Linked DNA regions of Oryzias latipes. The protein of the gene in region 2 binds, or shares a complex with, the protein of the main gene of each other region. Links are inferred from orthologs where the notes say so. Each region holds a gene or a part of one and is shown on either strand. Other genes may lie near its edges. The genes, in order: ctnnbl1, bcas2, cdc40 and rbm22.

Evidence for each region.
Region 1: bcas2 (region 2) and ctnnbl1 share a complex: the UniProt entries of both Homo sapiens proteins name them as parts of the PRP19-CDC5L splicing complex. The link is inferred for Oryzias latipes from reciprocal best matches to the Homo sapiens genes BCAS2 and CTNNBL1.
Region 3: bcas2 (region 2) and cdc40 share a complex: the UniProt entries of both Homo sapiens proteins name them as parts of the postcatalytic spliceosome P complex. The link is inferred for Oryzias latipes from reciprocal best matches to the Homo sapiens genes BCAS2 and CDC40.
Region 4: bcas2 (region 2) and rbm22 share a complex: the UniProt entries of both Homo sapiens proteins name them as parts of the postcatalytic spliceosome P complex. The link is inferred for Oryzias latipes from reciprocal best matches to the Homo sapiens genes BCAS2 and RBM22.

Annotation. Positions count from the first base shown.
Region 1 is NC_019865.2:1,920,375-1,927,898, reverse strand, and holds part of ctnnbl1 (beta-catenin-like protein 1), read left to right. Parts: intron 1-577; coding exon 578-811; intron 812-1,882; coding exon 1,883-1,989; intron 1,990-2,081; coding exon 2,082-2,221; intron 2,222-2,501; coding exon 2,502-2,599; intron 2,600-5,981; coding exon 5,982-6,075; intron 6,076-7,524. UniProt on the Homo sapiens protein: Component of the PRP19-CDC5L complex that forms an integral part of the spliceosome and is required for activating pre-mRNA splicing.
Region 2 is NC_019865.2:941,175-948,755, reverse strand, and holds bcas2 (pre-mRNA-splicing factor SPF27), read left to right. Parts: upstream 1-3,406; 5' UTR 3,407-3,510; coding exon 3,511-3,603; intron 3,604-3,999; coding exon 4,000-4,092; intron 4,093-4,181; coding exon 4,182-4,252; intron 4,253-4,353; coding exon 4,354-4,515; intron 4,516-4,593; coding exon 4,594-4,644; intron 4,645-4,724; coding exon 4,725-4,805; intron 4,806-4,878; coding exon 4,879-5,005; 3' UTR 5,006-5,318; downstream 5,319-7,581. UniProt on the Homo sapiens protein: Required for pre-mRNA splicing as component of the activated spliceosome. Component of the PRP19-CDC5L complex that forms an integral part of the spliceosome and is required for activating pre-mRNA splicing.
Region 3 is NC_019882.2:8,076,169-8,084,205, forward strand, and holds the start of cdc40 (pre-mRNA-processing factor 17), read left to right. Parts: upstream 1-2,730; coding exon 2,731-2,922; intron 2,923-3,597; coding exon 3,598-3,684; intron 3,685-4,810; coding exon 4,811-4,940; intron 4,941-5,021; coding exon 5,022-5,108; intron 5,109-5,274; coding exon 5,275-5,414; intron 5,415-6,148; coding exon 6,149-6,245; intron 6,246-6,559; coding exon 6,560-6,699; intron 6,700-7,189; coding exon 7,190-7,264; intron 7,265-7,464; coding exon 7,465-7,510; intron 7,511-8,037. UniProt on the Homo sapiens protein: Required for pre-mRNA splicing as component of the activated spliceosome. Plays an important role in embryonic brain development; this function does not require proline isomerization.
Region 4 is NC_019868.2:16,384,983-16,392,985, forward strand, and holds rbm22 (pre-mRNA-splicing factor RBM22), read left to right. Parts: upstream 1-3,166; 5' UTR 3,167-3,242; coding exon 3,243-3,296; intron 3,297-4,432; coding exon 4,433-4,486; intron 4,487-4,571; coding exon 4,572-4,601; intron 4,602-4,706; coding exon 4,707-4,839; intron 4,840-4,941; coding exon 4,942-5,042; intron 5,043-5,294; coding exon 5,295-5,467; intron 5,468-5,624; coding exon 5,625-5,825; intron 5,826-5,925; coding exon 5,926-6,090; intron 6,091-6,371; coding exon 6,372-6,454; intron 6,455-7,083; coding exon 7,084-7,212; intron 7,213-7,297; coding exon 7,298-7,455; 3' UTR 7,456-7,855; downstream 7,856-8,003. UniProt on the Homo sapiens protein: Required for pre-mRNA splicing as component of the activated spliceosome. Involved in the first step of pre-mRNA splicing.

The DNA.
Region 1 (7,524 bases), about 980 kb from region 2:
AAAAAATCATTTAAACATTTGCATTAGGGGTTTATTAAAAGAAATAATATTGGGAGAAAACCAAAAATCCGGACTTGGTGTCAAATGTTTTTGGCTGCTGGATGGATGACGTTTCACTCAGTCATTCCCTAAAAGTTCTTAGAAATAATCTGTCATGTCATCCTTTAATATAAATGTGATTATTTTATGTAATAAAGTTCAAAAATCTTACTCCTGTGCTGTGTTTTTCATTTGCGTTTTGAAAAAGTACCAACAAGTTCCTATCATTAATGCTGAAAGCTGCTATGGCTGTTATCTTGTTATGGATTTTTACCTATTTCCTAATAATAATCATTACTCAGATGCCCTATTAAGCTCATTCTTCTTACTGTTTAAACAATTTAAGTAATATTAATTTACAGGTGAAGTAATCACATCATTTAAATTGTACTGGACTTTATTGACTTATTTTGCTGCAGCTTTTCCGAACAATTGTTTTCATACATTGGACATTCATCATTGCCTGTTCACCTGATATTTCTTCATCACGTTCAGTCGCTGTGCTCCTTATTGCATGTCACTGGTTTTCCACTCTTAGCCCGATAGAGGAGCAAAACGTCCCAGGGAGCAAGAAGGAAGAGCAGCAGGAGGAGACGATGATTCCAGAGGAGGGAAGCAGCAGAAGGGACTGGGATCCCGGGACCCGGCCAGACATCGGGAAGCTGGAGCGGGATCAGAGGGTCGTGCTGAACCGGGGGACGGCGAAGAGCAGACCGGGGACAAGAAGAGGATACTGGAAAAACTGATGGACCAGGATGAAGAAGAACCCGAGGTGGGAAAGCTGTTTTTATTTACTGGTCGTTTTTTTTCTTTCTTCCAAAAGGCTGTGTCTGTAGTTCAGACTTCTTCCTTTTTTTATCACAGAGACCATTTGATTCCTCTTTAGGTGGAAAAATGCTGTTTTGTTTGTAATTTAAAGCGAGTTATGCAGAGCTGCCTCTTTAGAGAGTGCAGGAATGATGCAGAAGTGATGAACATTTGCAATACGGCATACATTTGGAGGAGCTTAATGCTTTTGGTTCTTTTGCACTACTGTCTAAGCATAGATGAATAGTTGTGTCGTTGCCACGACTACTCAACTTCTGCTAACAACCACATGGTAAGAATTGGACAAAATGAGGGAAGGAAGTGACTGAGAAGAACTAATAAGTGTTAGAAGGTTCTTTCTCCTTATTTAAATGTTCATTGTGTCCATTTTTCAAGGTGCGAGGTGAAAACAATTATCAAAAACAAAAACGCATGTGTGCGAATGTAACCATCCTTTTGGTATTGATAACAGATAAAAATGAAGAGAGACCACGGTGATGAGTAAATGTTGGTAAACGTACCTGTTTTTTTTTTTTTTTTTTGTGGCATTAAAAGCCAGAAGGCGAAGCTCTTAAGTTAGGCCACGGTGGAAAATGCAGCTGCGTCAGAATTTCCAAAGGAGTAACACTAGAACCAGTGTTACCATATTGCAGTGCATTTGAAGACTGCACATTGATAATTCAGTTCATATTATCCCCACACTGCAGGCATTTTCAAAAATTTACTCTGTCAAGGGCCTCTCAGAGCTAATGGCTCCTCTTCTCCATAATGTCAGGCAGTTGAAATGTCCTAACCGGTCATTATCCGTCTAGCACTTTACAGCTTTTAAGCCTTCAGGAGGTCAAACGCATCCCCTTTTTCTGTAAAATGTACCCTAATTGATGCAAAAAAATGACTCCACTCACACGTTTAATGTCGCAGTGATGGCTCTTTGCTCCGGCAGCAGCTGCTTCGACCTAAAAAGCTTTTGCCCCCTTTTTCCTCCTCTATTTTCTTCACCACTGCCATGTCCTCTGATGTTCCACGGATCAAACAGGCCGAGCCGGTGGATGAAAGCACAGTGAAGAAAATGATCCTGACCTTTGAGAAAAGGTCATACAAAAACCAGGAACTGAGGATCAAGTTTCCTGACAATCCTGAGAAGTAAACATGCTTTTCCTTTATTATTTTTTACATCAAAGATTTTGTTTAAATGTTCTTTTTTTGGAAAACTATTAACTTTGTTTCCGAACCAGGTTCATGGAGTCGGAGCTGGATCTCAACGACATCATCCAGGAAATGCACGTGATCGCCACCATGCCGGATCTCTACCACCTGCTGGTGGAGCTCAATGCCGTCCACTCCCTGTTGGGCCTTCTAAGCCATGAAAACACAGATATCCTTCACATGGATTTTGACCTGCAAACTGGTTTATCTGGGGGCTGGAGCTCTATATAAAACATAATGCATCAGCGATTTTGGATTTGTTAGCTCTGATTAGAAAAACTCTAGAAAACCTGTTGTAGCAGTTAATAATATCTATCTTTAAGATAACATGAAAGCAACCAAACTAAGACTTTTGGGCTCACCCACATGTGTTATTATTGATATGATTTAGTTGTCTGTTTGGGGCGGGGCTGTTGTCGGTCAGTTTTATTGTCCTCAACCCAAAGCACATGTCGCCATCGCGGTGGTGGACCTGCTGCAGGAGCTGACAGACATCGACACACTCCATGAGAGCGAGGAGGGCGCTGAAGTGCTCATAGATGCTCTGGTGAGTTTAAAGTTTCTCTCAGTCTGTGCTGGTATTGATGCAGCAACGCTGGCTCAATCAATATTTAAGTTACTCGGCTTTTGCATCCAACTCAGGCCGAGGAGAATTGATTACTTGGTCTTATTTTTAATGAATCAGTAGCAGGATTTCACTTTCGCCTTGCTGACATTTGGAGTTTTTGAGGAGTCTCCGTTTGCTTCTTAGACGTCTTGTGAGGCGGATTTCTGTCTGCAGATTTTCAGGTTTTAGAAGATCAAACTATAATAAGATAGAAAAAAAGTGTCTTAGTGGCAAAAAGGAGAGCTTTGCCCATTCATTTATTCATTCATTCATTCATTTGTGTTTTATTGTTTCACTTAATCTCTCATTTTTTCATAATTTAATCCTTCCTTCCTTCCCTCCTTTCTTTTTTCTTTCTTCCATCCTTTTTTCTTTTTTCCTTCCTTCCTTAATTCTTTACTTACGTCCTTCCATTCATCCATTCTTCCTTCATTCTTTTCTTCCTTCTCTCACTCACTTGCTCATTTATGACGAACTAACTGCAAATATACAGGAAGCTTAACATTTAAATCCTATTCATTACTTGTGCTGTCATTTCTCTAGATCAGTGTTTTTCCACCTTTTTTGAGCCACGGCACACTTTAACCTTGTCAAAAATCCCGCGGCACACCAGCATCCAAAAAAAAAGAAGGAGAAACTCATAGACTGTATTGATCTACAGTCCCTCTGCAATCTCACGTGCATTTTTATGATAATTGTGGCAGAAAAAGCTGGAAACTGCAGCTGTTTTTTCTAAAAGATGTAAAAAAAGTTAAGTTAGAAGATTTAAAAACTGTTTGATGTCTGTTCGTTGTTGTTTTAAGACGTTTAAGAGGAAAAACTCATTGTACGCTGAGACGCTGTCACTTTAACCCAATGCATCATGGGAGATGTAGTGGCAGACAGAGCAGCATCTCTGAGCTTCATTGTTTTGTTCACTTGTTCCACGGTCTGATACCGGATCCTGCGGAAAGCTACAGCGCTAAAGACGAGCTTTAGCTGGTGTTTTTGTTGGAACTGAGAGCAGTAATGGAACAAGGAAGTGAAGACTTTAACCACTTCTGATTGGTCAGACTGATGACATGTGATTAAGACTCCAAGAATGATTGGTGGAGACAGTTGAAGGGGCGGGACTTTTCAGAAAACAGCTGAAGCTGCGGCTAAATCGCGGTGCCGTCATTCTTATCAAAATGTCTTTAATAGAATCAAATAAACACAAAGAAAAAAGTCTTTTATAATCTTTCATATTCCTAACTACTCAGTGTTTTATCAGGGCCTGTTTGGATGAACACAGAGCTGATATCCTGGAGATGGAAAATGTTTTTAGATCAGTGAATGTAGGGTTGGGCGATGTCCCTTAAATTGGCCGTTGACGATGTTTGCTGTCAACCATCGGGATGGACGATGACATCGTCGGGGGGGGGGGGGGGGTATTTTTACATTTTTCGTTCTTATATAACTGCTGTTCGTTTTTTTGCTTTTTTCATTTTATTTCCCAACTAATGACTAATCCGCGATGATCCAGTATAAACTGAGGGAAGTGACTTAAACAAAAAAATTAACAAACAAAATAGAAAAGAAGTAGTCCGCTCCCGCACTTCCGGGGGAGCGCGGACTTACAGCTTTGTGTTTGATGGGAAGGGGGGTACATGAGCGGTATGTGTGGGAGATTTAAGACTGCGATCCGTCCCGCAGCTCTAGGGGTACAAGCATCCGAACTCAGAACCGGGTCTAAAAGTGTGTGTCTGTGCACAGCTCGGACCGTCTGCACACACAGCGGTTTGAGCTTCAAAGCAGAAATGTCGCTCAGTCCTTAGAAAACATTCAAACAATCACGCGGATTTGTGTTTCCAGTCGTGTCCCGACTAAATAAAGGCTGATTTTATTCTTACACGTTTACGTGCAGCCAGCAAGCAGCACCACCCAAAGCTAATGTTGTTAGCCCGTGTTAGCATACTGCTAATCCTGGCTTCGTTCAGAAAAAGCACTGACCACACGGATTAAAATTCAAATGATGAGCGAACAGGTGTTTGATAATAACCGTAACATTATTAAAAGCACGTTTAGAAGATCATCTCGTATTTTACCGAGCTGACATGTCAATGTATATAGCCGCTCGGCGCTGTTTAACAATGTTTTGTATTGAATTGTTACATTCAATAAAGTTTAAAAAAAAAAAAGGCGCTCGGCGGAATTTATATCCTTCCGTTTTTCAAACCCTACTGCGCATGTGCGAATGATTTATTCCGACGGAAAGTGTGACCTTAGTGAACGTTTTTATATTCTGAAAACATTTTTCTGGGCCCATGTACACGGTTGGATTCTAATCTGACCATTGATCCCATCAAGATATTTTGTACATGTAACCGCGGCTTATGGTGTCGACGCGCAACGTGGCGGGGGCGTGGCATCACGATGGTGGTCTCTCCATCGGGATGTCAGTCACCCATCACGATGGACGATGATATCGTCCATCGGCACAATCCTAAGTGAATGAGGGCAATTTCCCACGACACACTGGTTGAAAAACACTGATCTAACCTCTTTAATGGTTAAATACAGCCTCATTCAGTACACCAATGGTAGCACCTCTGCACTATTTGGGCCACCAGGGGCAGCAGACGTTCAATATCTTACTCTTTTTTTTTTTTTTTTTAAACATGTGGGCGTGCAGAGTCTAACCCGCCAACTTCCAATTAGAGGACAACCGCTCCACCCTTCTGTCACAGCCGCCACAACATATGTTTGGTACACTGAAATAAAATAAGTGAAGGTCATTTGTTTTGGAGTTGAACGGCCACAGAAACCATCATTCCTCACATGGAGAAAGTGTTTCAGGGCGGCCGGCTTCATCTGTCTTTACCTTGCGCCCAAACGTCTGCTGCTCTTCTGTCCTTGCTGCCAGAAGGCCAGGTGCTGTCCCTGATAAGATAAATCAGAACGATTCACACGACTGAGTGTTCATCTCCTTTCATCTGTCGTAGCGCTTTCCTGCAGGTCCTCAGCGGAGAAGCCCACTTCTACGTTGGGTTTGTGTCTGGACTAGTGATGCTCGGTTCCTGTTAGATCTCCTCTCAAAGTTTCAGACTTTGGAGTGATCCGTCATCGCTGCTCCCTTTAGATTTTCAAGTTTTTGAATCAGATTTGCCACCAAATGAAATAATTTTGGGAGACTTTCAGCAAAAATATGATGTTTGATGAAGAAAAGAGAGAAACTGAATTCTAAAAAATTGTTCCTGATGGCATTCTCTATCGGAACTTCCAAACTGTGATCACATTATGAGATGACCTCAACCATTTGAACCAATTTCTGAAAGCCAGCATTCTGACTCTGTCTTTGCAGTTGGAGGGTCAGGTGGTGGCTCTGCTGGTGCAGAATATGGAGCGACTGGATGAGCAGGTGAAGGAGGAGTCTGATGGCATCTACAACACTCTAGGTGAGAACAACAGTCTTTTTTAGAAATGCCTACAATTATGCGGAGGTAATTTTCTTTATGTCAAATTCTATATCTATATATATTTCTTTCTTTCTGACCAACACTGTAACGGTTTCCCCTCTCTTACTTTTATCTATTCTTGCATAATGTAATTTGACTAAAGATTATGTCATTCAGATCAGCTGTTGTTGACGTTTGACAGTCATATGTGTGCCTTTTCTCTGGAGGCTCCATTTTTCTTTCCAACACATGTTCGTTCTGGTTTTAGATGCGTGTACTTTGACTTTCTCTCTTCCTGTTTATTTCATCGTCATCTGATTGGATCTGGACCAAATCCATGACTGGATCTTGACTTTTTGTGTGTACGCTGTACCACGAGTACGACTTGTTTCAGATTAGAACAATGCTGAACATTATCTTCATGAAAACTGCTGCGCTGGCTAACAAGTTCTGCTCATTATTTTAAATTCAAACATGAAAACAAACATCTGCGAGAAATCTAGGACATTCACTGCAGTAGAATCTCCTGTTCCTTTCTGCACCACAGATAAAAATAGGATCGTTGTTAAAAATTCAGAGCTTTAGAAATTAATAACTCTGGCCACCTTATTAAAGTAAAATGATGACGGATTCAAAAACAAGATGGGATGGATGGATAATGGATGAATACATGGAAGAAATGGTGGATGGATGAAAAAATGGATGAGAATAGATAAACCAGTAAATGAATGAATAGATGGACAAATTGATGATCAGTGGATGATGGATGGACACGGTGAGAAAAAAAGGATTTGATCTGGTTTGCCCACTAATAAAGACATAATAAATCTATACTTTTAATGGTAGATGTATTCTAACATGGAGAGGAAGAATATCAGAACGAAAATCCAGAAAATAACTTGAAAGAGTTTATTTGTATTTCCTACGTTAGTTGCAGTCAACCACAAGGTTAGCACACATATCAGGGGGAATTTTGGCCCCACCCTTCTTTGGAGACCCTCTCTATCATTACGTTTGGTGGGCTGCCGCTCGGCAACTCAGATCTTCAGCCCTCTCCATAGATTTTCAATTGGATTGAGGTTAGGTTACTGGCTGGGCCACTCATGACCTCAATATGGTTCCTGTTGAGCCACTCCTTTGTTGCCTTTGCTGGATGCTGGTATGTTGTTGGTCATTGTCTTGTTGAAAGACCCAGCCATGGCCCATTTTCAGCTTTCTGAAGGTTGTCTCTCAGGACTGTACATGGCTCCATCTGTCTTCCCACTGATGCGGTGTAGCATCGCCTGAAACATGATGTTTCACACCTCCATGTTTGACGGTGGGCATCGTGTTCCTGGGATCATGGGCAGCACTTTTCTTCCTTCGCACATGACGAATAGAGTTTAGGCCAAATAGTTTGATTTTGGTCTGGTTTGACCACAGAATCTTCTCCCAATCACTGTGTGCATC
Region 2 (7,581 bases):
TTAATGTATATATATATATATATATATATATATATATATATATATATATATATATATATATATATATATATATATATATATATATATATATATATATATATATATATATATAATCTTTATACAAATAAAATAATCTAACCCTAACCAATTTTTCTCAATCTTAACATTTAATATTATTATTGTGTCATGAGACACAAGCAAAAGAGCCAATATTTTTATTTATGATTAATAGTAATGACTGAAGTATTTACTGGTATATGTGGAACGTATGCATATTTTGCAATCAGTTTTATGAGTAATCGTCCTGTGTTTGATCCATCTATGTAGAGATATCTATGTATAGTTCCATTGTTTGTCTTGTTTTGTATTATTTTTGCTTTGATTGCTCGAAATAAACCATTTCCAAATCCAAATCTTAATATCTAATAACATCAAATATTCAAATTCGGTCAGCTTTACATCCATGAATTCCTCCGACATGTCTGTGAGGGACTTTTCAGTCGTTTTTGATGCTGATCCTCTTCATCTCACCTGTTGACAGGAACAGCTGATCTGACCACCTGCAGCATCTTCAACACAACTGTAGGTCAAATCTGCTTTGTCAATAAAGATTTATTTTACAAAATCTGTTATTATATTGAAATATCCTGTATGCAGAATTGTTTATCTGGAAAAAATAAACATTATAAACTGATTTTAAAAAAAAGTTTTCATGAAGCATCTGTCTATAAAACCAAATGACTGACTCTCTTCAAATATTATAAATCTTTATTAACACAAAGTAGATGTTGACAGTGATTCTGGTCTTTGGCTGCTGACTTGCTTGATGGTTTCCCCTATAAAAGACTCAAATAAGGGGTTTTCCTGCATTTGGATGTGTGGGGTGGTCGGTCCATCCTTTCCAGAGGTGGAGGTGGTGGGGGGGTTGCTTTGATGGAGTAAACACGATCCGGTATTGGGTTGGAGGAGGCGGAGCTGGGACAACTGTAAGTCAAGCGTAAGTCCATCCTGAAAAAACATTAATATAAACTGTGTTCTTCTTCTGTGGTTTAACAAACACCAGAATATGATTTTATTTCTTTAAAATTTGGGAATTGTAAAGATTGCCCGACCCAGCTGGATGAGCAAAAGAAAATGGAGGGATGGGATAACAGGAGGAGGGATAGAAAGAAGTTTGATGTGATTCTCCCACAAGTCTCCCACAAATGGTAAATGGCATTTACCTGTATAGAGCTTTAGTACCTTCTTGTAAGGCCCAAAATGCTTAACAGTCACTGTCCCATTCACTCAACACATACACACACACACACACACAACGGCAGCTCCACATTTCAACAATTCAACACATTGTTGCACAGAGTGCGAACTGAACCTGCAATCTTCCAACCAGCAGTCGACTGTTCTACCTGCTTTTTTGCTTTAAAGCTCAAGAAAGACAACAAAGACATTATAAGAAAGCAGTACTGACTAAAAAGCATAGTGTGAGATTTTTATTCCACATTTCAGCATCATAGGGTCTTTGTGCTGTTGACTTAGAATGAAAAAAAGTAACAAGTTTTACTAGTAAACATTAGAAAGACATTTTTCCATAAAGGTCACTGGGGGATCTGCAGCCTCTTCCAGTCGTTATTAAATCTGTGACAAACTCTAATCAAGTTTTCCTTTTAGCCACGGAAAGCAGTGTATAAGAAACAAAACATGTGAAATCTAGACAACTTAATTAGATCATTTTCGTCTAAATTCAATTAAGAGGGAAATTAAATCATCCAAAAAACATGTTTTCTTTTTATACATTAATTCAATTAAAATAAAAAAATCACTTTTTGAATCAAATCTGCACATTTATTTTTTTCTGTTATTCTGTGGAGGAGCTTGGCCAGAAACTGATCCTGTTTTCCCAGATGTTAGGATTAATTTGGTTTTGCAACGTGTACACACGCAAAAAAACATACTATTAGGCCTGCACAATTAATCGCAAATTTATCGTTATCGCGATTTCAAGCTGTGCAATATCCATATCGCAAAAGTCAGCGAAAATCACAATAAATGGTAAACCTTAAATGTGCTAAAACAATCTTATGGTAACTTTAGCTATTTAATGAATTAACTAAATCCCTTTATGCATTTGACCAATCAGATATAGCCCTTTACGTTGTTGACCAATCGGATGGAGCTCTTACGTTAGATGTTGCCCTACTAATTAGACGAGGGTCATTTGGAAGATAAATTTAAGGTATTTTGACTCTTATTTATACTAAACATTTGAAGGGAAATGGAAATGTTTTTGTTGTTTTTGCTATTTGTTCATTTTTTGCAAGTTATATCTTCATCGCAATATTGATCACTAATATCGCATATAGCGAGTTTTCCTCATATTGTGCGGCCCTACATACTATAATGCATACACATACCAGTACTTCCCCTTTCTTGGCTATTTACTCTTGGTTATTATTTCTGTATTGTTAAGATGAAATGCCTTCAACGTAAACTTATAATTTTATATACATTATTTAAAAAAAAATATTGAAGTGATGATGAAGTATTTTTACAAGATTGATCACATTTGTATCAGAAGAAAAAGCTATTTATATATTTTTTTAGAACAACAACAAAAGAAAGATAAAAAAAGCATTTATTTGTTGAAATTTAATATGAAACTCTTTAAAGGTTTACTGTAGTGCAGTAATAGCTGAAACCTGAAGTTTGTTACACTACACATCTGCAAGAAGCTCCTGGGGATCTTCTATCAGTCTGTGGTCGCCAGTGTAATAACCTACGCTGTGGTGTGCTGGGGGGGGAGCACCTCAAAGACAGACTTCTCCAGGCTGGAGAAGCTGATCAGGCGGGCTGGTTCTGTGGTTGGCACAAGGCTGGACCGTCTGGCTACTGTGGCAGAGAGAAGGACACTGAAAAAACTGACAGGTATCCTGGACAATACCAGCCACCCTCTGCACATGACTATCGGTAGCCAGAGAAGCACCTTCAGCAAGAGGCTGCTCCTCCCAAGGTGCGGGACTAATAGACTGAGGAACTCCTTTGTCCCCCGGGCCATCAAACTCTTTACCACCCCCGGGCCATCAAACCACTTAGGAGGGGGGAGGGGGACAGAAAGGAAAGGGAAAGGGCCTGAATCACTTTTTTTTTTTTGTATATACTGTTTGCAGATATTTAAATTGTTTTTTACTGTTCTAATCTTCCTCATTTTTCTAGTCACTGTGCTGCTTTTTCCTTTTTCCTATATGTATGTCAACCAGTGCTGTATGCGATGGAGATGTCAATTTCCATGCGGGAACCTCCCAAATGGATAAATAAAGTTGTCTATCTATCTACTAAGCTGCAGTTCCATTCCTCAACGCAAGAGGCGACAATCACGATTAATACAACACCGTTGAGACTTTTATTTCGGAAAGTTTTGACCGGAAACGGAAGTTTCTGATTAGCCGTTTGGAGTCTGTTAGCAGAAAAGGACTTTCTTTCTTTATTTTTATTTTTTTTTACTGGGGAGCGAACATGGCTGGAACGGCCTCGGTCGCTGGCGAAGTGTTTGTTGATGCGTTGCCGTATTTTGATCAAGGTTATGACGCACCAGGTGTCAGAGAAGCGGTGGGTAAACAAGAATGCTGCTTTAAAAGCTAGCTAACTTATAGCTAGTTAGAACTGTTAGCTAGCGATGCCGCATGGTAACGCGCCGTTCAATGTATAGTTGGCCAAACCATTATTATTATGATCGCCTGTATATTTCTTTAGATCTTGTCATTATAGGTTTCTGCTTTGAAACTATACAAGTTCATAATTTAGGATGAAAACCTTCAAAGCCAAAGCTGCTGTTTACCTCATCGGGTAAAACAACAGCTGAGGGGTTTGAAACAGCCGGCAGATCTGGAGAACCAGGGTTTGGTGACACTAAGTTGACATGTTAGATCATCAGGGGTTGTGGCTCATTTTTAAATCATGTTTGTATGAAAAATGGAGAGAAATCATTTGTACTTGGCCCTTCAGGCCGCTGCGTTGGTGGAAGAAGAGACCAGAAGGTATCGCCCAACTAAGAACTACCTGAGCTACCTGCCCATGCCGGAGTTCTCGCCGTTTGAGGTGAAAACCTGCAGACATTTGAAACTTGATTCCTAGTCTGGGTTGGCTAACCGGTTTATAATCCTTTCCCGTTTTGTTTTGGGTTTCAGACAGAAATCATGAGGAATGAGTTTGAGCGATTAGCCGCTCGACAACCAATGGACCTCCTCAGCATGAAGAGGTAAAAAACACACTCTGTCTGTCTGTACAATATTTCTGTAAATGTAAAAGAAAGAGAAAGTTTAGGGTGATTCCATAGAACGATTCTATTCTGCTGTGGAGGTATGAGCTTCCAGCCCCCACATCGGGACAGAAGAACGACATTACCGCCTGGCAGGAGTGTGTCAATAACTCCATGGCCCAGCTGGAGCACCAGGCCATCCGGATCGAGAACCTGGAGCTCATGTCGCATTATGGAACAAACGCGTGGAAGGTCTACAACGAGTGAGTGGCGGCCTGTGGGTCTCACCCTTTGGTGTCTGACTCTTCTGAAGACTCAAAGCTAATGTTGTCCCTTTTCAGCAATCTGGCCTTCCTGATTGAGCTGGCTCAAAAGGAACTCCACAAGTTCAGGTGATTGAGGATTGGATCATACATGCCTGAAAAGATCCAACGGTTACCATGGTTACACATTTCTGAACTTATGCCGGCAGGAAGAAGATCCAGGACCTGAACTGGCAGCGCAAAAACGATCAGTTGGCTGCAGGCGCCAAGCTGCGAGAGCTGGAGTCCAAGTAGGTTCTTCTTAAGTTCTGGTGTTCTCGTGGATGAGGGGTGATGTCTGACTCTGGTTCTGATTCCCGCCAGCTGGGTGTCGCTGGTCAGTAAAAACTATGAGATCGAGCGCGCCATCGTCCAGCTGGAGAACGAGGTGGCTCAGCTGAGGCAGCAGCAAGGGGAGGAGAACAAGGAGAACATCCGACAGGACTTTTAGGAGTCACCTCACCGGGATCCGTTGGATGGATCTGATTCGGTTGGTTTGGACGACTCGATGACTGCTGGAGCGTAGCGGGTCACTCGACTCCAAGACGGATGATGTTTGAAAGGCGTCGGTTTCCTCTGATGGAACCGTTGGGTCTTTTGTGTTCAGTTACACACAAATCATGGTTTGAAACTCATGATCGATCGACATGATCGATGTCTTTGTAGCTTGTTGTACAGTTTCTAAGTTGTGGTGGAGAAAAAAAATCCTGTTTTTGATTCAACTTTTGTTTTTTATCGTTTTAATAAAATGAACGTTTCATACACATTGTTATTTTTTTCAGTCTTTTACCTGTAAGTCTCTGAGCTTCAGAGCTGCAGCTGATGAGCTGGAAGCTAACAGATGGGAGCAGCTGGATGGTTTGTCATTCATCCCTCTTGAAGAACAGTGAAACCTAAAGTCTGAGGCCTAGAGTGAGGCGGTTTTGTGTCAGATCCCCTGTCTTCTGTACATCCACTGAACTTTGATCTCAGAAATCTGCAGCATTTTGTGCTGATCCATTTTCAAAAGTCTCAGCGTCTTCCATGACTTCCTGGATGAGTCTTCATCTTTGTTGTTGGTCAGTGGCACAGAAAGGTCACAACACATTAACTCACAACACATTAACTTACCACACAACACATTAACTCACAACCCAAAAACTCACAAAACATTAACTCACAATGGAAGTAAAGCTGCAATGGAGGTGCTTTTATCCTGAAATTAATTAGTGTATATATATATATATATATATATACACATCAAGCTCAAGGCCCCAACTGACAGTGTCCTCAGTGAATGTCTCAGGCAATGGAGAACAGAGGATACAGTGCTGGAGGACAGATCCTCATGGGAGGACAAACCCCTGCATGGGATGTACCACCGGACCATAACTGAAGTGGCTGATATCAAGAAGTCCTACCAATGGCTAGAAAGGGCTGGCCTACAGGACAGCACTGAAGCACTCATCCTGGCAGCTCAGGAACAAGCCCTGAGCACCAGAGCCATAGAGGCTCAGATCTACCACACCAGACAAGACCCAAGGTGTAGATCTACCACACCAGACAAGACCCAAGGTGTAGATCTACCACACCAGACAAGACCCAAGGTGTAGATCTACCACACCAGACAAGACCCAAGGTGTAGATCTACCACACCAGACAAGACCCAAGGTGTAGATCTACCACACCAGACAAGACCCACGGTGTAGATCTACCACACCAGACAAGACCCAAGGTGTAGATCTCCCACACCAGACAAGACCCAAGGTGTAGATCTACCACACCAGACAAGACCCACGGTGTAGATCTACCACACCAGACAAGACCCAAGGTGTAGGCTGTGCAAAGAGGCGCCTGAAACAATCCAGCACATAACTGCAGGGTGTAAGATGCTGGCAGGTAAAGCATACATGGAGCGCCACAATCAAGTGGCTGGAATAATATACAGGAACATGTGTGCAGAATATGGACTGGAAACCCCAAGGTCAAAATGGGAAACACCTCCGAAGGTGGTAGAGAATGAGAGGGCAAAGATCCTGTGGGACTTCCAGATCCAGACTGATAGGATGGTAATGGGGAGCCAACCAGACATTGTAGTGGTGGACAAAGAACAGAGAATCACCTGAGGCCAACGCCGCCATCTCCTGAGTTGAAAATGGCTCACAAAAAGGCTCTGCTGGGTCATATTCAATCAGATAAGAAGTAATGAGATATGTTATGTGGATGTTGAGATAGCTTTATGTGGGGTGGATGGGACATTATTTTTATGTACATTTATGTCTGTGTGTGTGTGTGTGTGGGGGGGGGGGGGGGTTACATGGCCGCATACTCCTATGAAATTAGGTAGTTGCGCCCCTGTTGTGGGTTTATGTGTTGTATGGTAAGTTAATGTGTTGTGATGTAAGTTACTGTGTTGTGTTGTGAGTTAATGTGTTGTGTGGCTCAATTCAATTCAATTTTATTTCTATAGCCCAAATTCACAACAGTCGTCTCGATGGGCTTCGTGTCGGTAATTAAAAAAGTGAAACATAGAATCAAAAGGATCATGAAAACATAGAATTCAATAGGAAAATACTAAACTGACTAAACTAAACTGGTCATCTCTGCCCTTAGACCCCCCTTCTCTGTAAGGAAAAACTCCTAAAAAAACGGATTCCGGAAGAAAAGAAGAAACCTCAGGGGTGATGAAGGAGGGATCCTCCCCCAGGACGGACAGGTGATGGACCAGAACTTTTAGGCCGGCTGTACACTGCAGGTCTTGATGCCCATATCCGATTTTCTGACTATATCCGATTTTTTTGACGACCCGCTTACATCATCTTTTAAAAGTGACCCGTATCTGATTTTTGCATTTACACTACAATGCTGAAACTGTCACATGTAGACGTTCTGAGGACTACGTAGCAGCATTTCCGCCTTCCACGGTCATCCTTTGGACTTTTGTGACTGCGGTTGTCATGGAGGCAAGGCGGCGACGGAAGGAGGCGTTGCCTTGGGCGCTCCAGAGGGGGGGGGAAAGAAGGAGGGCTGGTCGGCCGTCTTATGTGC
Region 3 (8,037 bases), on a different chromosome or scaffold from region 2:
TGGTCTCTGCTTCCAACACTCAAAAATCCAGCGGCGTAAGCACAAGGACCAGCAGTGTGGGAACATTACGAGCTCTGCAGCCAATGCCTCAAGAGATGATTCATTCTACATCAGTCATACATTTAAAACAACACGGACAACCTTTAATAATATACTGCACATCACACAGGTGTTTAAAAAGGACTCACATCCCGAAATTTGCATGCAATACACATTTAAGAAAAAAAATCTATGAATGGGATCCATAAGAAATGCCACATATGACATAATACAATGCAGAGATCTTCAAACTGTCGTGTAAAGCTGTGTAAAAACATTGTTCCTCGGCCATTGGTGTTGCACCAAGGTTTCAAATTTCACAAACCATAATTTTCACCACAATCTACCATCCCCCGCCCCCCCACGACAGTGTACAAACCGAGCTGCCTGGACTGGAACAGTCCCCAGCCCCCAAGTCAGTGCGCTCTAGGAGGGGGGGGGGGGGGGGGGGTCATTACCACACTGTACTAAACTGAAACTCTGATATCCCTTTCCCCGTGAACACACCACAGATGGGGGGAATAAAGGATCATTTATGGGGCTTTGCAAATATTTGCTTCCCCCCCCCCCCCCCCCCCCTCGAATGATATCCTCAGACTCTGCAGCAGGAGCCCTTGCAGATGTGGAGTTATCCCATCAAAAAAGTGCCCTTTTACTGGTAAATACGCATGATCACGCGTGTACTTTTTAAGAATAATCCACATCTGACCACTCTGCATTACAGTCACCTGTGTGCTGAGTTGACGTGAGTCAGTGATGGCCAGGCAGTGTTGAATTACCGTTATTGCCAAGAAGACAGCCCCGGTTTACGCTCTACAACATGGTGACTGACTCTGCTTCTAACTTGCTGGAATTAAATACATTTTAAGTCCGTTTGTCAGTTAAAAAAAAGAAAGAAAAAAAATGAAGTCACAATAAAGCCACGATGCTACCTCAAAATGATCCTTAAAATCCCGCTGATTTTCTTCCCATCTTCACCAAGAAGCAAAGCGTGCCGCCGTGTCCAAGAATTTAAATCCCCGTGTTACATCCATGGTTGTGCCGTCTCTCATATCCAATGCTCTCCTGCTGGAAGAGGCGGCGGCGAAGAAGGATCCAGCTGCATTTTTTAAGGGATTTTCCGGCTGGAATTCGGCGCAACTACAGGGAAATCGTGCTAATCTAAAACAGCGTCAGGTTTTATAACATCAAAACATTACCTTAATTTAAAAACTTTTAGTTTTTGTTGTTTATTCGAGGTTACGACCGTGATGTGGCATTCATTGAGGAGAAAACGCCCCCGTTTCGGTCTTGTAATGGTATGAGCCACTCCATTGTTGAGGAGTGAGAAACCGTCTGTAACTGGGAGTGCGCCAGAAAAGTTGTTAAAAACAGAAACCTAAAAAATAAAATATAGATTTTAAAAATAGTTATAATGTTGTGCATATTTGAAATAAATTCTTAGAATGTGTTTTGTTCATAAAAGTATAAATTAAAAACTATATGCTTAATAAAACAAATGGGGACTATTTAGTTACATTCCACTTAGCAGTGATTACACAGAATATACATTATCCACATTTCTTTAGAATTGGTTGAAAACATTATTATAATATATTCTTATCATATGCCAATGTTTTCTGACTTTATGTTGTATTTTCTTCACTTTTTTAGGGAAATTGTTGCATAACTCTGTGTTACAGACTCATACATGCCAAAAAAAAGTAGTAGTTGCAAACTGTGTTATAATACAACAGATAGGCAATATTGCTCAAGTATAAATGTGTCATTCTTAATTATGCAAATTACACATTTCAATGGATTCATGGCGTGCTTTTATTTTTGCAGGCTTGCTGCTGACTGCAGTGTTTTGTAGGCGCTGTAAGAACCAGAACCCTTGGATCTATTCTGATCCTATTTAACTTGTACAGAAGAGGCTTGGGACCATGGACAGACAGAGAGAGAGAAAAAGGGCAAAGAAAATCTCGACTTTAATCTCAGAATTTTGACTTTTTTCTCAGAATCCTGACTTTTTTTCTTCTCAGAATTCTGACTTTAATCTCAGAAAGATTAACTACGGACGCCTGTGAGCTATTTCCTACAGTTACCTTTAGCAACACTTGAGTCATAAACGCTGGAGTGTAACTAATGCCCTGTTTCAGTTTCTTGTTGAAGGCCTAAAGTTTAGTTTAAAAAAAAAAGCAATTGTCATTTGTTAAGTTAATGGTTCTTTTGAGGAGAAAAAAAACTCCTAAAACACACACAAAAAAGAAGAACAAAATAGTCAATGAAATTGATCAGAACACATGGCTAAAAATTGTGTTTAGTGCATTGGGGAAAAAAAGCTTAAAGTTGCAATGAGAAAGGAAAACAGTACATTTTGTTAGTTTTTCATGATCTCACTGTTGTGGAAAAAATACATTTTGGTCAGCTGTAAGACCCATTGCTTAATATTTTTTAATTAAAAAAATAGCATGTCTATAAACATGTTTATGTGCTACGTCACATTATGCATGTTATAAATAGATAAATAAATAAAATATATTAGTCTTACAAGCATGGTACCCGCATTATAATTGGTAAACACTCATAACTTTAAAATTGTCCTAATTTTTGATATAACGAGTTTTTACATTTTTTTAAATGAAAGTTGAATAATTTTGTAACCGGTAGTCCCGCCCTCGGATTTCCGGTAAATTCACAACATTCAAAATGTCTGCCGCCATATCTTCCCTCGCTTCGTACGGTAGCGATTCTGACTCAGAAAACGAGTCAGAATCAAATACTAGTACAGAACAAGCTGACCCGATGGACTCGGATGCAATGGTTCACCTTAAACCGTTGCAATCTGGTAGCATAATGTCTTTGGCAGTTCTCAATTCTGCCCCGGAGGTGGCTGTTAAGGTAAGCTAAGGCATCTAAGCTAACTCACGTTAGCATAAAATGTAAAGTTTGATGACTGCTCCTCGACGACAGTTTTTTACATGTTGATAAATGTTGGGTAAAAGTCGCGAAATCTATAGTCAGGGTTTTAAATGTGTATAAGAATTCATACAAGTCAACTTATGAACACAAATCAAGTATAGACCACAAATATGAGCTAAGGCAGCAATTACACAAGTGTACATGATGATACATTAAAGATGTATTTACTGGCCTCTTACTAATGCTTTTTATTAAGTAATAATTTATTGGTTAAAGTTTTTGATATTTGCGTCTCAAGCGTACGTAAATTGAAGTTAATCTTACTTTATTGCTTTTAACGTTGAAATCTCCCTATGTTTTCATATAGCTATTAGTGTCTTAATTGAAAATAATAGGTTAATAGTATGTAGAGATGTCTTTATTTTTAACTGACAGTGTTCTCCAAGTTAGTTACAAACTAATACATAACTGATATTTTTAAATGTTTCAGAACTGTATGTAATGACCTGACATCTGTACTACTCAATAGTTTTTTTTAAACACTTGTGAAAATGGAGTGTAATGTAAGATGACAATATTTGGCAAAGTATTTCACATGTCCCTTGATAATTTTGTTAGTAATGACTGATAATCATTTGTTTGCGTTGATGGTAGGAGTCTGTTGAGACTGGTACACACCTGGATCCCACTTTGAAAGAAGTCAGTTATAACCCGACATATGAAACTCTGTTTGCTCCTGAGGTAAGTTTGTAGTCATTCCACAAAGGCAAATTCAGAATAATGTTACCAACGAATGTTTCTTTATTTAATCAGTCAAATTCTAACAAATGTGACTTGTATTGGGGAGAAAAAAAAGGAAAACTTCTCAATTCAGTCAGTATGCAGCAGAAAAAATCACCAGCTTTACAATTTACGATTTGATGCTCAGTCATTGTTTTCCTACCGATAGTTTTGTCATTTGTCATTACTGTTATCATAACATATATTTATAATAATCAAGCCCAGTTTTTGACAATAAAACCAAGCTTCCTGGTTTCACTGAGGTGATTTATTATGGATGCAGCCTATTATATATATATATATATTTTTAAATTCTATGAGATTGAATTCTAAAAACCTTGATTTAAAGGCTTCTTTTTCGACACTACTTCCCTCACTTATTTGAAAAATCCTGGAAAAAGAATTAATTTCCACATAATTACATATTCAACACTAGATTATTATTGAAAAATATGTGGTTATGTTACTTTTGGGGAAAAGATAAATTCACAATTTTCTATCCCAGTTGAATTTTCTTTTGTTTTTCATATTCCTCTAGGTATATGTGTTTTCTAACAGATTAAAAATAGAAACAAATTTGTCAGAATCGATAAAGATGAAAAGACATTTTAAAGTTGTGAGAGTGTTTGACTAAGACGTTTTTTTTTTTATCTTAAAGGTTTATAGTTAAAAGTTAATAACAACAGGATTATGCAGTATTTCTGACAAAAATGATGGTAAATACTTGTTAAATAAATAAATACATTCCAGTCAAAATAGTAAAGGCTGGATTTACTAAATTAAATAGTAGTTTTACTTTATGGAACTACAGATGGGCTCTTCTCCTGCTTCACACAAACCAAAATTTCATTAATAAAAATGTATGTTGTTTATGTAATCAAAACATACAACTATTGGCTATTTTTATTTCTTTTGGATGAAAAAAATCTGGGTATGTTAGATGTCATGATTTGTTTTTTTATTTCCAACCATCTACAGATGAATTTTCAAAGCGGAAAAACTTTTACGTGAATACAGAGTGACACATGAATTAACAAAGGACTGTGGGTCAAACACAACTGTGTTAATTAGTCTTGTTTGTTCCTAGTTTGGACCAAAGAACCCTTTTCAGACGCAGCAGATGTCCGCCCCCAGGAACATGTTATCTGGATATGCAGAACCAGCTCACGTCAACGACTTTATGTTTGAACAACAAAGAAGGACGTTCTCTACTTATGGTAGGGTTGACTTTAGGGTGGATGAATTCTTTCAAAGTTCACACTTTGAAGACCACAAACCCATATTTTATCTGTTGATAGGTTATGCTTTAGACCCTTCTGTTGACGCTCAGCAAATAACCACCACTAGCTACATCGGAGCGGTGGATGAGGCTGAGAAAAATAAAGGTATTTGTTGAAAGTTATTTCTCATTGCATCATTAAACCATAATCCTGTGAGCCCTGACCACCTGTTTACAGGTAGAGGAGACAGACGAGCTCATGGCTTAATGTCTGTCATAAAAATATTGGAAGATGTCATTGATTTGCTTCTTTGTGTTCACTGGAATTCCAGGACTGACCGTTTTTGAAAGCGGTCAGAAGAAGACAGAGAAAAGGAAGAAGGTTAAGGGGGGAGAGGCTGCAGATATTGATCATTTCCTTGGGCCGTGGGCCAAATATGAAGATGAGAAAAATGTGGCCAAACCAACAGAGGTGATGTTTTCTCTATTACAATGTACACTGTGACTCATATTTAACAAAAATTTAAGGACCGTTGAGAACAGCGAAGTCAGCCATTGATAAACAGATATAAGATGCTACAGATATTACAAGCTTTTATGTTTGTTTTTTTAAATTAATACTTGCCACATCGCACATACTTTGGGAGAGCTGTGTTTTAAAATTAAATGTACCCATTAGAAAATATTGATTCATTCATTAAATTCCCTTTTTTGCCATTTCTTGTAGTTTTAAGGCTAACAGTGGGTTTATAAGTTCTTTTAAGTAAATATTTAATTTTTTTAACTTTTGTTCAAATTAAATAATTAATTTATGGGGAAAAATCCTTAAAATAAAAAATAAAAATGAGTATTAGGTTGGATCCGATAAAGAACAGTTTAGCGAAAAAAGTTAGATGGTGTTTAACTGATCTGATATTTTACTGTCAAAGCAAGAATATATTTATAGTTCTTTGGCGCTTAAAAAAGAATCCGCAAAAAAATTCATTTAAAAAAGTGTTTATGGAATTTTTCTGTATGGTAGAGACATACCTTGAATCCAATGTTACCTAATGTCTTACTCTATGAAGCCACAACCCTCTTTAAAGTATTCTTTACACAAAAACACATGTTTGAGATGAGCTGCCACCTGTTGGCCTGTTCAGTCTTTGGATTGTTTGAAGGTTATGGTGTCTTGAGATTTTTCTAATGATGTATTTTCTTGTGCAGGAAGAAAAGAAGGATCTGGAGGAATACCTAGCTAAGAGGCAGAAGAGAGGAAAGAGGGAGGAAGAGTCTCCGGCAGAAGAGAAGACCATTCTTCATGGTATTTGGTTTTTTGATAGGAGTCTATAATATTTGTTGATTATAATTACGTTTTTTATATTTTAATGTTTAGAGTAACAAAGTCTTTAGCGAATTCTAATTCAAGTGTATCACAAAAAGATGGAATAATGCTTTTCTACTATCATTTTTCAGTAAAAAATCTGCTACTATGAGAAATTTTTACATCTTCTTAAAATTATTAAATTTCATTTGAACTATGAATGTTAAGCAAAGCTCTATGCTATACTGGATTGAAAAGTATTCATGTTTCAAGATCATTTCAAACACTTTTCCCCCCATTTGTTCTTCTCACAGTCAAAGACATGTACGACTACCAGGGCAGGTCTTACCTCCACGTTCCGCAGGACGTCGGCGTCAACCTGCGTTCGCCTGATGCTCCAGACAAGTGTTACCTGCCGAAGAAACAGATTCATGTGTGGTCTGGACACACCAAGGCGAGTGGAGCGGCCGTTAATGATGCTCACGCTAAAATTTTTTTTACTCTGATATTTTAAACTTTTTTTAAATTGGTGGACTTTCTATAGCAAGCAACAGTCCTCAGAATCTGATTTGTCATACAAATAGGTTTTAGAAAACCGTCTTTCCTATAAATGCCGATGTCCAGAAAAATTCCTCAAAGCCTCTTATGTAGTGAAAGTAACAGAACTATTAAGGAAAACAACTTTTTCTGTAAAAGTTCTTCAACAGCAACACCCTATTCTGATCTGAATGTCAAATTAATATCTCTTTTGGGTGAGGACATCAAAAGTTGGTGTTCAGCTTATAAGTAGGCTTTTAGAGTAGAAAAGAAAATTAAAGTTAAAATAGTTTGACGCATTTAGAAATATTTCAATAGCAATAGAAAGATTTTGATAATATTAGGGACAATAAGATCATGTTTAGATTCAAACAATGTTAAATATTGTTTTTGTTTTTTTCTCCCAGGGTGTCAGCGCGATCCGGTTATTCCCCAACTCCGGTCATTTGCTGCTGTCCTGCTCTATGGACTGTAAGATCAAGGTACATAAATATGTTTGGCTTCAGTATATGCTTTTTATTGGTGTGATATTTATTAAAAACATATCATTCACTTTTAAATTCTGTCAAGAATCGTCAATTTTGTTAGCTTCCCATAAAAATCTGAACATTGTTTCGATACAACCAGCTTTAAACCCCCTTTTGTTGTAAATGTGTGTCTAATTTGTCACATTTTTCCACAGTTGTGGGAGGTTTACGGTGAGAGGAGGTGTCTCAGGACATTTATTGGTAAGTGTTATTGGATTTATTTTTGGTGTCTCTTTCTGTTCTAAATTTTCTGAATAAGCTGTTCATGTTTTGGAGTCCAATTAACCCCTTTCTCCACCAGATCCCCAAAATAAAGCAATGTTTGTAGCATGAAACATTTTATGATGAGATCTTTTCTCATTCAGAAATGATGCAATCTAGTGGGGGTATATTATTTTATCATCTTCATTCTCCTTTTGTTCGTTTCTGGATGTTCCAGAAACATTTTTAGAGAGTGAAAGTTGTGATTATACAGCCTGTTTTTTAGGTGTCTGCTTGCAAAAATATACCAAGAATTATTATTGATCATTTAAAATAGTTTGATGTGAAATACCTTGTTGGATGAATGTTTTTGGCTCTTAGCTTAAACTGAGCCCAAACGACTGCCATGGAAACAAATAAGAGATATTTATATATTTATGTTGATAGTTTTGTCTCCATAAAGACACAAATTTCACAATAAAAAAGTGTAATTTGGTGTTTTAAGGTGTCAATTGTGAATAAATAAA
Region 4 (8,003 bases), on a different chromosome or scaffold from region 2:
GCTCTCCCACCCAGGAGGGCTGCCCGTGTTTGAGGCGGTTCAGAAAAAAAATACGCCTGACTGTTAAAACCTTCGTAAATAATAAGCCAGTAAGGGATTACTGCAGGTCATAATAATCCGACGCGTCGTATCACAACACGGAGCCTGTTACCACAGCTGAGAGCCAAATCCCACTCAATCGTTTATAAAAGATTGTGTTGGGAGCCATTGCATTCCACTTCTAGTCTTTTGTCCGCCTCTTGTCATGTGTGGACTTGCAGAATGAAGTGAAAGACGAATCATCCTTTCATTTGGATTTGCACACACTCGTTGGCTTCTTTTTTTTTTTTAAATTAGACGCGCCGGGGGGGAAAGCAAGGATTATTTTATTGTTACCCCTGAGTTGTTTTGAGTCACTTACTTGAAACGAGCATATCCACGGCGTTAAACGCACCGCAGCGGCTACAAAGTTATCAAAACAAGTTGCTCGGTGGCCGCTGGTGCATTCACGGGATTCGATCGCGGTACTCCGCCGTGAAAATCTCGGTGCAAACCGGCTGCAGCTCTAGCTTCTGCCGGGCACTAAACTTCGAGCAGTGAACGCATCCTTTCATTTTTCGCGTCAGAGCCAGGCTAAATATGAACGCTGCCTCTGGGGCTTTTTGTTTTATCTTCAGTCGAGGGGAGTCAGGCATTGGCCTCAGCCTCGCGCGAGCCAGACAGCGAACACGAGCCCGGCCTGGGAGAGCGCGCGGCGGGGCTCCGCGGTACCAAACACAGGCGAAAAGCAGCGCCAGCACACTTGTTTTTGTGTCGACGTACTCACCTCGTTTTAGCAGATTTCGGACGCTCTCGAGCCGGCTGGAAGGAAAGCGGCGCTGGATTTCGAAGAGTGAACAGAAAAGGGTCTCGGCTCGCTGTTGTCCTTAATGTGGAAGCGGCACGGCCGACTCGGCTGGGAGAAAGCTGGAAATGTGAGGAAGCCCCTCTCCTTCTGCAGCGTTGTGCACCCAGCAGTGGCCCATAACTGTCAACAGGTGGCGCCAAAGCGACACTTTTTTTTCTTATGCGCATGCATGCATGTTGAAGTCCTCAATATTTCTTGGGCTTATCTGCATCCCTGCTCCACGGTGCTGGGATTAAAGGGACCTTGATCTTCTGTTCGCTAATACTCTTGAACCAATTTTCTTGTGAAGTGATGCTCAAATTATCTTAACAGATTTCTTTCAAAAATGTCATTGAAAAGTAGCTGTTTGATTTGCTTTTAACAATTTTTTTTGGGGGGGGGGGGGTATCGTGATTTATTTATAGATAAGAAATTACTTTACAGGCATACATTATGGCAAATGAAGCGTCACAAAATATGCCTCTGGTTACAGATGATCTTATAACAGAATATACAGTTCTTTTCGGGGGGTTTTAATCAAAAATATAAAGAAAGCTTGGAGTATAAAACTAATACAGACAAATTCAGAAACAGCCCCACTGTAGAGTTGAGGCATTAGCAACAAAGAACAGCAAAGACACCTACAAATCCACTGGCCTTGTGACTCATGAGGTTGGTCATTTTGATCTCTAATTAGCTAAATTTGAGACAAAGCTTTCCTTCAAAGCAGTTTGGCCATCTCAGTCTTTTCACATGATAGAAAGGACGGGGTCACATGACTCATTAAGATATGGAAGGTGATGCCCTGAGGGGGAGTTTCCTGTGGTGATCTTTTCAGGGATGTTCTTGACGGACTCTGCTGGCCAAGCAGAGAAAGAAAACAAAAGGTTAAAGCGGATGGAAATTTCCATTCAGCGCCTTACTGTGGAAGCACAAGCACATGGTATGCCCCTGATTTACAACCAAAAGTCCATGAACCTCTAAAAGCACATCCCAAAACGGAGGGTCAATATAGTTGTTTTTAACTTACATGTGGCCTGAAAGAGCTCTGCAGACCAGTTAAGTGGGCCTGCATCTAATCTCTGCTCTGTGAATCCACAATCTGACCTGTGAAGTTAAATAAACATTCAGGATTTAAAACCCACTCGTAATCTTCAGCATCCTTCGCCTCACTAATTGGAATTTCACACAACAAAGACACCATGGCCTGAATTGGACCAGGTAAACGGGTAAACTCTAACTGGACAATTGGCTTTCACAAGCTCCCATACACCTGCCAATCAGCCAGCCTGTCACTTCTTCCGTCTCTGGAAATGACACAAACTCAGGCGGCGCAAACTGTTGGGACTCACAGTTTTTCATAAACCTAAAACACTTTACATCACCTTTTTGCATTTATCATAGATTTATGATCAAATGAAAAATAAATAAATTAAAAAATATATTAGATTATTTAGCAATACATTAAATTAATCATGTGTTTATGAGGAAAACTACATGTGTTTAAACTTCTGATAAAACATACCATTTTTGTTGCATAGCTCCTCTACAGAAGTTAGATTTTTTTCCTTCAGACGGAGCAGGTCATGGACATGGATTAGGTCTAATCCGGAGTCCGTAATCAGGTTAACAAGTAACTAAAAAAAAAAAAACTATTAACCTTTAGTTCCAGAATAGAAATAAGTTCATGGTCTTTAAAAGCAATAGCATTAAATATTGTTCCTGAAATAATAAAAGCTTTTTTAGGATAACAACAACTGTTTTAACAAAGCATTCATTATGCTTTGCTGAAACATTTTCTACTTTTAGATAGATAGATAGATAGATAGATAGATAGATAGATAGATAGATAGATAGATAGATAGATAGATAGATAGATAGATAGATAGATAGATAGATAGATAGATAGATAGATAGATAGATAGATAGATAGATAGATAGATAGATAGATAGATAGATAGATAGATAGATAGATAGATAGATAGATAGATAGATAGATAAGTTAAGGTTAAGTTAATTAGTACTTACAACTGATTACTAAACTTTACTCACACAAATGTTAAGAGCGCAAGAATATTTTCGAAACAGAATGAACAAAATTTTGTGACGCTTGTAAAAACTTGTTATCCTATTTAAACAAAACTGTTGTTTTTTCGGGTGACATCAGATAGTTGAAAGTAAAGATCTTAAATTGTCAACACTGGCACACCATATTACTGTCAACACGTCAAACCAGTCCAACTCGATCCATTCCATTGAGGGTTTGATCACTAACAGTTTCTGGTGAAAGAGCGACACCCACAGGCAAGTCTAGGACCTGCAGCGCGGTGCATTGTGAGTTGTCGTTGTCGGCCCGGTTCTCCTCTCATTCAGCAAAATGGCGACTTCTCTTGGATCCAACACCTACAACCGACAAAACTGGGAAGACGCGGTATGTTGAATTGCTTTTATAGTTTAAGTCTAAATGTGTAAAGAGACCACACATCAATTTTATCACATTTCAAGAATACTATTACCCAAAAGCCTCTTTGATGTGTAACAAGGTAGCTTCCCGCTAAGTAGCATAGGCTAATGCTAATGCGGGAAGCATGGTAGCTAGCTACTGTTCTTCGTATCGTTACAGTAATTGTAAGTCTTTAAATCCCTTAATGGGTCAGGCAAACACAGATTGTGGATCGTTGGCAGCTAGTATCATCCATTTCCAAAAGTCCAAACAGATTTATCAACCTAAACGAGGCTCGGCATGTATGCTAATTTACGTTAGCTTTAGCTGCCTTACGATGCTGAAGTCATGTTGGTTGAAATGTCATATTTGTAAGACCGACTCAGCATAATGTCAGTCAAAAACAATTATTTTAGAAAAGTTTAAAGAATAAAGTATGTAGAATAATCAGAGTTTTAAACAATAGACCTGTTTGTTGATCTCAAACCATGATGTTGCAACCTCGTCATCACGAATATTAAGAATTCATGTATTTTTTTTCGCAATTGCTGTTACAGGTTTCCTGTTTGATTCCGTAACAGTACTTCTTCTCTTGTTTGAGAATAAAATATGAGCTAAAAGATGTCTAAGTAATTGATTCATACCTGACTGGCATTTTTAACGCAGTTAATGCGACACTTAACCAATCCGATGTAAACTGGGCAACTTAATTTAAGTTCCCACTGTGGTCCTAATGTAAATCAAGCAAATGTACAATTGTACCTTTAAATCTTAACACGACTATAAAAGATAAAAAGTGTTTGTGTCTTCCCTTAAAGCATAACACAACCAGACATTTGATTAGTTTTAGTTGAAGCTACAGTCTAAAAACTTTGTAACCCGAATATGTAAGTGATGTTTGAGCCCAATGATCTGCCCATGTTTGGGGTTTTTGGCTGATGCGGTCAGAAGGATGGAAACAGCATCCTTAACCAGATGGAAAAGTGGGTGATGCTGAAAGCTTTACTACCCTCACATGTACATTTGTCAAGCAGAGGCTGAAATGTAACGGTATCCCTTCAGCTTGAATACTAGTAAATGATTAGCTGAGAATTGTTGAATCCACGTTTTCTTGTCTGTTTCAGGATTTTCCGATTTTGTGTCAGACATGCTTGGGGGAGAATCCTTACATCCGTATGGTGAGTAAGTTTCCAGCTGAATTATTTGTAGGTCTTGTTTATGAATTCACATTAATCATATTAGTTGTTTTTTTTTTATATACAGACCAAAGAAAAATATGGAAAAGAATGCAAGGTATGGCTTTCTGTTAATTTTCCTTAGCCTTCAGAAGAATACACAGCTTAAACTTGAAATATTTTATCTTTAAACTGGATTTAAAGTTTTTCTTCTTTCCATTAGATCTGTTCTCGACCCTTCACTGTATTCAGATGGTGCCCGGGGACTCGAATGCGTTTCAAGAAGACAGAAGTCTGCCAGACTTGCAGTAAAATGAAAAATGTTTGTCAGACATGTCTGCTTGATCTAGAGTATGGTGAGTCTCGGGATCTTTCTACTTAAATTTGGATTTGTGTACCCCTTGTGCAGGTCTTATTTGTCAGTGTAACACTTTCTCTTGATGTGTTTTGATTGACAGGTCTGCCTATCCAGGTCCGTGACACAGGCCTCACAGTTAAAGATGAGATTCCTCGCTCGGACGTGAATAAAGAGTATTACACACAGAATATGGAAAGAGAGGTAGATTTCCTTTATGTAATGACTTTTCTCTTCAGTAGCATTGCTTGTTATGACGTATATTATTTTAGGTTGCAGTCATTTCCTTTACTTCCAAATTGTTTTCATATTGAAAAATGCAACACAACTTCCAAAGGTTTCCCAGTTCCTTTGCAGCTCTCAGGAGTCTGTAAATATCACTGCACCGAGAACAGCTTGGAGCATTTTGATCAGAACTGCACATTTATTGTCATTAACGACTCGTCGCATTCACAGATGGCTAATTCCGACGGCACACGGCCTGTAGGCCAACTCGGCAAGGCTACGAGCTCAAGTGATATGTTGCTCAAGCTGGCCAGGACCACGCCATATTACAAGAGGAACCGGCCGCACATCTGCTCCTTTTGGGTGAAGGGAGAGTGTAAGAGAGGCGAAGAATGTCCCTACAGGTGAGGACTAATAGCATCTGTAACCAAAAGACAAAGGTGCTGCTGTTTGGTAGATCTGAAACTGTAATCCATAGTTTTATTTGGTTTAAAAGATAAAAAATATATACCAGCATGTTGTGTGTCTTTGGGTTTTATTCCTGTGTTTGCTGCATTTCAGGCACGAAAAGCCCACCGATCCCGATGATCCTCTGGCTGACCAAAACATCAAGGACCGTTACTATGGCATCAATGACCCGGTCGCTGACAAGCTGCTAAAGCGAGCCTCAACCATGCCCCGACTAGACCCACCAGAGGATAAGTCCATCACCACTCTCTACATAGGCGGTTTGGGAGACAATGTCACGGATGGAGATCTCAAGTAAGGTTTTTTTTTTTTTTTTTTCTGTCTTTGTCACAACAAGAAGTGACAATTTTGATGCCTTTATACTGTGCTTGAATTTCTATGTGTACTCTTGCAGGGGTCACTTCTACCAGTTTGGTGAAATCCGAACCATCACTGTAGTCCAAAGGCAGCAGTGCGCCTTCATCCAGTTTGCCACGCGCCAGGCAGCTGAAATGGCCGCAGAAAAGTCCTTCAACAAACTCATCCTTAACGGACGGAGGCTCACTGTCAAGTGGGGGAGGTACGATGACTCTTGGTTACTGAGGAGGCCGTGCTGTCATTTGCTTGTTAAACGCCAGATGTTCTTAAAAGAGCAAGAGCCTTTCAAACTGCCTTGAGGTGAAGCCACCATCGATGTTACAAGTGTTGGGAAACGGCTGAGTGTGGCGTTTAAAAAGTGGTTATTAGAAACACAGCAGGAGCTTAATTGTAGCACACAGGTTCTTCCCATCTGGGAGATATTCTGTCACCTTTTTTTTTGTCTTTCAAGTCAATCAAAATTCAAACCTGTTTGTCTTTTAGGTCTCAAGCAGCGAGAGGAAAAGATGGTGTCAAAGATGATGAGCTTGGCATCAGACTGGATCCTGTACCTGGACTTCCTGGAGGTAAGTCTTCTCTCACAGGGGGGGTCAGTATTTTATGTGTGCGCACATGCAGTTCAAGTCAGGGGTGTTGGCGCCCCTTTAGGAGGTCAAATCATTTTCCCATAAACATAACCACTTGCTAAAAAAACGATGTCTCTAAGAGCCACTTATTTGGATTTGTAAGATGCTGAGATCCACACGTTACATTTTAGTTTGGGATCTGAGGGTTTTTATGAGAAACTAAACGGTCATCTTACATTTTACTACACTGTTTTTTAAAATAAAGCACATTTGGTTATTTTTTGTTTTCATCAAACAGCAGTTTTCTAAGCGTGTTCCTTCTTCGACACACTTTGATGAAAATGGTGTTTTTAACATTTATCATGTTCATTATTTGGATGATGGAGGACATATTTGAAGAAAATTAAACTCAAAACTGCATTTCTGAGTATTGTTTGTATTCAAATTCGTTGATGATCAGTAGCAGATGAAAAAATGCTGTTGGGGTAAAAATATGTATCTGCGGGGTAGAAAATCCGCTGGGCGGGCAAAAGGCTTCCTGCTCCGAGTCTCAGCCACAAGAATTCAGAATCTGGATTAAGATGCAGCAAGAACATCTTTTTACCGCCTTTAATTCTTCTCTTTGCCAGCGCTGCCTCCACCTCCAGCTTTAGATGAAGAGGGTCATGCCAACTATTTTAACCTGGATCCCAGCTCCGCTCCTGCTGTCATGAACATAGGTTTGCCTCCACCTCCAGGTATCAACCCACCTCCTCCAGGTAAAAACATGGCTTAGACTTACTTCTAAGTGATGCAGAAAGAAAAATGGAAATGGATACTAAAAACCTTCTTTTGCCCACGCAGCTTTTGGTCCTCCAATGTACCACCCTATGGGTCCCATGGCTCCACCTGTGCCCCCTGCTATAACGATGAGACCTCCGGGTGCAATCCACTACCCCTCCCAGGATCCTCAGCGCATGGGTGCTCACGGCGCTCACGGCTCCCGTCACATCACCGAGTGAAGTCCTGCAGTAAACGTTTGTCTCGGTTTCCTCACCATGAACCTGGTCAAGTGTTTTCATGTGACAGCCCCAAACCTGAAGACTTCACATGGATCAGTCCTTCCTTCTGTACACAGCCCCACATGACATCCAATGAATTCATTACCTCAGTATGTCTCAAGAGGAAAAAAGTGGAATAGTACTCCATCACTGTGTAGCTTCTTGCAGTTCTAAATGAACACAAAAGACTTCCAACATGAGTGCTGGCCATGATTACTGTTGTAAAGTTCTTAGGGGTGGACCTGTTCTTGTCTTATTTTGCATAGTGTCACATAGAGCTCGATATGGAGGATTAATTCTAAATCTGTCTCTTTTCTGATTTCTTTTTTTTAAAATAAATTTGATGCAATATTCCACTGCATAATGACTTGGGTTTTTTTTCCTGAGCTCATCATCAAATTGACTCAGCTTTCATCTGTTTGCACCATTTGGTGGATTTGGAAGTCTGGTAAATGAAAATATATTAAACTAGAGTGTAAATTAATAGACAAAGAGACTGCATATTAGTA